Linked DNA regions of Tamandua tetradactyla. The protein of the gene in region 2 purifies or fractionates together with the protein of the main gene of each other region. This does not show direct contact. Links are inferred from orthologs where the notes say so. Each region holds a gene or a part of one and is shown on either strand. Other genes may lie near its edges.

What was found. Proteins that work in one complex are often made in the same cells at the same time.
Region 1: the proteins of RAB11A (region 2) and WDR44 purify together in Homo sapiens (affinity purification with mass spectrometry; 3 studies listed by BioGRID and IntAct, counting the BioPlex papers as one, with this or other methods). This does not show direct contact. The link is inferred for Tamandua tetradactyla from reciprocal best matches to the Homo sapiens genes RAB11A and WDR44.

Annotation. Positions count from the first base shown.
Region 1 is NC_135353.1:49,266,612-49,270,360, reverse strand, and holds the start of WDR44 (WD repeat-containing protein 44), read left to right. Parts: upstream 1-863; 5' UTR 864-1,154; coding exon 1,155-1,231; intron 1,232-3,749. UniProt on the Homo sapiens protein: Downstream effector for Rab11 which regulates Rab11 intracellular membrane trafficking functions such as endocytic recycling, intracellular ciliogenesis and protein export.
Region 2 is NC_135340.1:82,872,906-82,876,654, reverse strand, and holds the start of RAB11A (ras-related protein Rab-11A), read right to left. Parts: upstream 2,674-3,749; 5' UTR 2,531-2,673; coding exon 2,491-2,530; intron 1-2,490. UniProt on the Homo sapiens protein: The small GTPases Rab are key regulators of intracellular membrane trafficking, from the formation of transport vesicles to their fusion with membranes.

The sequences.
Region 1 (3,749 bases), on a different chromosome or scaffold from region 2:
ATTGTTACCTGTTCTTAGCCTTGTAAGGTATCTGCTCAATAAATATTTCTGGGCAGGAGATAAGAACTTCTTTCATATTAAGAGTGGGCAGGGACAGTTATTTCTGGTGATAAAAAGTAACCAGAGGTCTTATACTACCTTAGCTCCAGCAACTAATCCATCATTAATCCATGGAACAGGCACGCTGTCACATGGCCCCCACCCTCTGGCCCGCAGGATCTTATCTAGGGACCCCAATTAGATGCAATTGTCATGAATAGGGCGGGTTATTCCGTAACTTTAGAGGTGGTGGGCATTCTTATGCCCCAACGGTGGGATATTCCGGGCTCGCATAAATTAACATAAGCAAACCGAGAAGCCCATGCCAACGTTTCCCAACACCATTTCCTGATTAATAAGAAAATAGCAGGCTCAAAATCATTCCTCCTAAAACACTTCTCTTTGAAACTGCAAAGTGGGTAAGACACTCTTCGGAACCTCACCTACGTCGGGCACATGCCTCAAAGCCTGTGCATCACGCTGCTCCTGCGCAGGCTACAGGCTCCTCCCTTCACGAGGCTCACCCACTCCCTTCCCGGCTACTTCCGGCTCCACAGAACGCCCTCAACGCACTGGCGGCGTTTTAATAGGCTTCTCTGGCAGAAGTAATCCAAGCGCGCCTCTCTGAACCGCCCCCGCCTCCCCTTCGCCCCTCCCACACTGTACAGTTTCTCCACAACCCCTACCTCCTGAAATCTCGCGAGGGTTGGTGAGCGTCGGTATTTTGCGGGCAACTGCCTCTCCCAGCTTCTGTAATTGCTGCTGCGGGAGAAATTGGAGCTACTGTCCCTGGCCCGCCCTCCCTCCCCCACCGAGAAGAGCCACCGCCTCTTCTCTAGCTTTCCTTATACATCTATTGCCCGGAGCGGCCACAGCAATAGTGTCTGGGCCTGCCGCCGCCACCTCGGGCGGTCTCTGCCGGTCCTTCCCGGCAGCTGCAGGCGGCCCCCTGCCCCTAACCGACTCCTCACTCCAGATCGTCTGCTCGCTCCTCATCCTTGCCTGGGACTCACTTCCCCCACGGTCTCGCCGGGGTGAGGGACGACAAGGAGGAGACGAGAGTCACCCTCCCTCCAGGAGGCGCCGGCCCCCTCACCCGCGGGTGTGTCTTATAAATGGCGTCGGAAAGCGACACCGAGGAATTCTATGATGCCCCTGAAGATGTACACTTAGGGGGCGGCTACTCCGCAGGGTAAGTAACTGGAACGGCATTCCCGTTCCCCACTTCTCTTGTTCCTTAACTCTGGTCCGGCTCTGTCCGCCACCGCCGCTCCTCTCAATCTCACTCGGGCACTTCAGAACCCAGATCTGGGGCGCCTCGGCCAATTCCTCTCTTTCCCTGGCGCACGGCCTCCGGAGCCCTCTCGGAGCCCCTTTTTCGGCTTGTTCTGTTTTCTGCGAGGTGGACAGGTTACGTGCCCAAGAGCCAGCGATTTATGTTTGTGGGGTCCAGAGTTTACCTTTCAGATATCCAGTTTGGCCTCCAAACCATAGATTAAAAGGGCAGGAACAGAAGAAATTGCACGTCTCATTTTTTTTCTTTTTACCGCTAACTTACCTATTCATTTAAAGGTAGCTGTGACTCTCGTTTGCTGTCTTCTTTTCCTTGCACAGAAAGAAAAGAGAGGAAGAAAGGTTGGGTATTTTCTTAGTAAGGTCCTCTAGCTGATGTACCTTAGGTAAACAGTGTTTTATTAAAACAGCACCTTACCGTGAGGCAAAGGAAATCGAAGACAAGGTCCTTATGTTAAGAATGCGTTCTCAAAGGGTAGCCGGACGTAAATGTACACAACAGATTCCAGAGATACAAACAAGTGCTGAGTAATCTGGTGGTTGGAAGGAGACCCACAGCTTTGTGCTCTTTATCTAATTTCTGCAAGATGTTGAAGTGGTGATTAACATCGGAGATTGAGTAGAAAAAACAGGAGTTGGAATGCTTCGCTTAGGACTTCTACTTAACCAATCTTTCACTTTTCAAAATTGGAATATGTTTAAAGCGATTTTACTGAACTTGACGATTTTACTTTACTGATTTTACGGTCTCGTGTGTATGTATTTTCATGCTGTAAGAACTTGAGAATTGATAAAATTTGAATGTTAGTGTAAGGCCCTAATGTGGTTCCAGGAGTTCAGCTCCCTTCAATTCTCATGCTTACCCCGTCGAAGAAATACCCTGTTTGATGAAAATAAAGATATCTGTAGATTGTAGAAATGGATTGTAAAACCTAGTGTATGTTATACATAATGATATATACCCAAAAAGAGCAGCAAAATCAGTGAGAAATGTACCTTGTTAATTGTAAATGTATGTGTTTCCATCGACCTTCATATCAATATTGTGGGATTTGGGGGATGATAATGGTCCATGTTAAGAAGACACTGAACTCAGTGTCTCAGTGTCTGAGCCAAGTTCATAGCCAGAGAGTAGAGGACAGAAAATTTCTATTTCAGTGTTGCTCTCTTGAAATTAAATTCTGTTTTTGTGTGTTTTTTCCTTCAAGGAAATAAACTGTCAATTCAGGTTAAATGAGAAACCTCCTCCGTTAGTATTGTATATATATGTTTTGCATTAATTAATTGCGTTGGTTTTTTTTTTTTTTTTTTTACACTCTGTTCCCACCTTTTGGGTGTGTATGTGGGGTAGGGAAAGTGGGAAGGGGAAATAACAATTTGCACATGCTAATCAATTTAGAGCTATGTGGATATTGTTCTTTTTCATTGAATACAATAAGATTAATTTTGAAGGGAGTTACATCAGACCTGTGTAGTCTGCCTGGTCAAGTACCTAGTACAGAGAAATATCTTAAAAGTTCATTCCCTTCTTCCTTTCTTGGAATTACCAAATTCATTAACTTCATATAATGCTTGCTTTGAGAGGAAGTATCCAGAGCTTGGAGGAGCTATTTAACTTATCTAACCAGATGGGGCGGGCCACGATGGCTCAGCAGGCCGAGTTCTCGCCTGCCGGAGACCCAGGTTCAATTCCCGGTGCCTTCCCATGCAAAAGAAAAATTAATTAATTAATTAACCAGATGAGTCATTTTGATAGAATTGAAAGAGTCACTTCTTCCCTCATATGATAATAAAGCACTTTGATCCTTTCATACTAGGTGAAAAGTAAAACAAGTTTTTCTAATTTTAACTCTAACCTGCCCAAGAGCTGAGTAAGTTGAGCACTGTGGAGAAAACTACATTGTCAGTTTGTGGATTTCGTGATTTCATTCTGTAGTGAGGGAATTTGGAAGAGAATTAGACTCATCTGGAGAATTGCATGTGAAAAGAACTAGCAGTGCTTGGAGAAAAGTAAAAGGTGGGTATCATTAACATTTTCCTGTATCCTTTGTGGCAGGTTTTGTCATTTGGGTAAGGTGCTGAGAAGACACTTGGCTGGGCAACTAGTGACCTAGCAATACATTGTGGAAATCTTGATTTGTGAAAACAGATGTTGTCATTAGATATTTGATCTTCAGAAATAGTTTCTATCCCTTGAAATGAACTGGAGTGTCACACCATACAAACTCTTAAGATGGTTAATAAACTGAATTTGGGCATGTTAAGAAATATTCCTTGCTGTTGCATGTTCAGGAATTCAAATACCATTTTACCACATTATAGTAAACTGAGTAGGCCCTTGAGAGTTACCTCGTATGTTTTGTTAATCAGCATAATCCAAATATGTAATCCATTTCCTAAAATTCATTTATTCTTTC
Region 2 (3,749 bases):
TGAAACCTGAACCCGTGGAAAAGTAAAATACTTAAGAAGTTCCTAATTTTAAGTTTCTTTATTAATATTTAAATGCTCTTGTATCTATAACAATTTAACGTTAAAAAACTGACAAGAACTACAGTAACTTCTTTCACATGATTATCACTTATTGAGTCTTCATAGAAGCTAAAATTTTAACAAGAGCCTCATTTAATCCTTACAGTAGACCCAAGACGTAAGTATTGTTTCCTTTTTATAGATGAGGGAATTGAGGCTCAAAAAAACGTTAACTTTCCCAAGGTCACAGAGCAAATAAAAGACCTGAGTCAGCATTTAAATCCAAGTCTGCCTGATTCTAAACCCCTATGCTCTCAAGATAGGTGGTCTAATTCCAAAGGTATATCAAAAGTTATATATATATATGTTTAAATTTATATCAAAAGTTTAAAGCCCTTAAGACAATTCAGGATAATATTCTTAATGAAAATATAAAAAGACTTTAATAACAAATGTTCAAACTCCAAACCAAACAGGAGAAGTACCCGGTCAGTTTCTCTCATTAATTATAAATTTAATTAATTTAATTAATTAAGCTGCCCACTGCCATTATACTTTATTTGAAAAGCAAACCTCCTTTTAGTGACGAAACCTAAAAGTTTCCAGGGACTGTCTTAAGTAATTTCACATAATCTCAGATGCCTTCAACAAACAGTATATAAACTAATACAGGTTTTCTTTTTATATTTCTAAAAGGCATTAAGTATCCTCTTCTCTGTAAATGCCTTGCCAGTATGGGAATGGGGGTAGATTTTGAAGGTGTGCGCCCTATATAAATACACCAGCTCAGAGGAGCAAGTGATGACAAGGGTATATCAGCAGCTAGTAATAGTAAGATTTGCAAAGTACTGGTAAAGAAACCTTTCCTGCTTTGTTTAGTCAATCATTCTTAGCGCCCAATGGCAAAGTCACAAACAGTCATAAAGCCTAACACTCTTTTTTAACTCCACCCTCCACTGTAAAGCTTTAATAGCTCTGGCTTCTTCCTCCCTGGTAATGATCTTTGTTCAGCACATTACTGATGGCTGCCCTCCTAGTTCAGGAGCAGAAAAAGAGCAGCAGCAGAGAGAGATTCATTGAACAACAACCAAAAGAAAAACACAGGGGGAGGCAATTACTATACCCTCTTCTAACTGCAAACTCTACCCTTTATCTCTGTTGATTAAGGAAAAAAAAAAAACTGTTGGGATTCTTTCTGGACTAACCAATAAACAATTCTATTGAACCCCCACTCTCCAATATATTTTGTCCAAAGGCACTGACATATGTCCCTGTTTTATAATAGTTAATATGTGCAAAAGAGCACACACCCATTCCCCCCCACCACCACCTTTTGGGAAAGGTATGGGGCCAACTCCGACTCTTCCCTTCCTGTTCTAAAACACCAGAAGACTGGATCCTCCCAGTGTTGCAGCAGGAAGCAACCAGACCACTGCGATAAAGCAAGCCAGTGTTTGTGCAGCGCACAACCTTTCCTGCTCAGGAACTGGGCCTTCAGGTCTGGCAAGGATAACAGCCACCACCCATCCGCAACCCCTTCTCACTAGCAGAGTTAAGAGTTATCCCAGGCTAGATGCCGCTGGGAAGGGACGGCAAGAAAAAAAAAAAAAAAAACCGGCAAGGTGGGAAGTCACATCAGCCTGCCGGGTCACTGCGACAAGTTCGCGCGTGGGTGATGGACATTCTTTCTTGTCTCCCCAACCCCCACCCCGGGGTCGCACTGGAGCCGCGGGACCTATCAACATTTGCGAGGGAAGGTAGAAAAAGAGCTGCCAACCCTCGGGGGCGATCGGGGAAGGTTACTGACCGCGAGAACAGCGGAACAAGTGGGGGTGGGGGCCACTGGCTCACTCAGATGTTATCAGGACCTGGACCCCGAGCCTGGAGCAGTCGGCTAGGAGGGGAGTCCGTTCCAGAGGAGGGGCTGCGAGGAAACAGAGAGGAGAGGCTCTCTCGGGAGAAAAGGGTACCAGATGAGAGAACGACCCGTAGTAGGAGTCTCTGGGCCTAAGGAAAGGCGAAAAGGGAAGAGGGAGGGCCTGTCAGAGGGACTCATTAGAGAGGATGTGAAGAGGGCGAGGGGGGCGCTAAGTCAGAAAAGATAGATGGAGAGGGGGGCGGCGGGGCCTTGGAAGGAGCTATAAACCCGGGAAAAGGAATGAAGACGACGAATTGGGAGAATGCAGTCCGCCGTGAGAAGGACACACAATGAGGGGCTCTGAGGCTAGCGAGGGCCTACGAGAAGGTCGCTATGAAATGGGGTGTGGTGGCGACCCCCAGTCTGAGGAGAGAAGAGACTGAGCTGGAAGATGGCAGGAAGCACTGCTCAGAAGGGAAGGGCTGAGGCAGGCCCCATTTCGGTGCCGGGATGGCCCGCGCGCGGATCCCCGGGGAGTGTCCCGGGCCCCCAAACGGGGACACACTGTAGGGTGCCAAAGCCCAGAGGCTCACCTTTGAAGAGGTAGTCGTACTCGTCGTCGCGGGTGCCCATTGCGCGGCCGAGTCTGAAGGGGCGGGAGCAGGAGCGGTATCGGTAGGACCAGGGGGCGTCGCTGCAGGGGTAACCCGAGCTCCGAGCTTCAGACGCCGGACCCGGTGAAGTGCCCCTCCCTGCCGTGCGCCACTTCCGGCAGCCCCAGCCCCTCAGGGGAAGTACTTCCGGGGAGTTGGCGCCCCACCTCCGAGTCCCGCAGGGCTGCAAGCATTTGCATCGGGTTGTTCGTTGAAGTCACAGCGTCCTCAAGGAGGCTGATATGGGAAGATGAGTCCTAGATTCCCAACTGACCATGCTCTTAGTAACTTCTCGTTTATTCTTGCCCCAACTCGCGCTGCCAAGCAGGACTCCAAGCTCTGAGAACGCATCAGACAAGCTTCAACGTAGTGGTGGGGCGGGGTTTACTAACCTTCAGAAATCTGAAAGCGCAACAAGGCGTCTGGCGGTTCCATGGTGTAATGGTTAGCACTCTGGACTCTGAATCCAGCGATCCGAGTTCAAATCTCGGTGGAACCTGTGGCGTCTGCTTTTTTTTTTTCCCCCCAGTTACCTTTTAAATCTAATTCACTTGGTAATGGTACAAACTACGGTATGCGTGGCATTGAACTAAGTGGCATGGGATTTCACAAAATGTAATCTTTTCCTCCAAAGACCCCACAGATCCCCCCTTCAGTTCGTACTACTAAACAACCACTTTGCATGTGGGTGTCTTCTAAGGAACATTTTAGCTTTGCCCTTTTTAATCTGGGCATCTCAGCCTCAAAACAATTCAAGAGCTTCTTCCGTGGAACTTGATTCCTTTTGATCTCCTCAAGGGTGGGTGCTTCTCACTCACTGCTCTCCAGAAATCTCTCAAACTGTCTCCAGATGTCTTTCAGAGAATTTCGCCCACCCTCCTTATGAAGATTCATCAAGAACTTCTGAGCCCTTACTATTTGTCAGTCTAAACTAGGTCCTTTTACATAATTATTTCATTTAACAAGCAGAGCAAACACAGCAATTTCCATTTTAGTGGAAATGTGGATACTAAGACTCAAGTAATTAACCAAAGATCACACAGGGCGGCCATATATTGACCGGAGTTTTTTAATTCCAAAGAGCATTTCACATTTATTGTCACCCCCTACTGACTATATGCAAACCCTCAATCTAGACTTTTGGGCAGGAGTGTGTAGTAGACAGAGTAATGGCCCTCCAAACGTGTCCCCATCCTAAT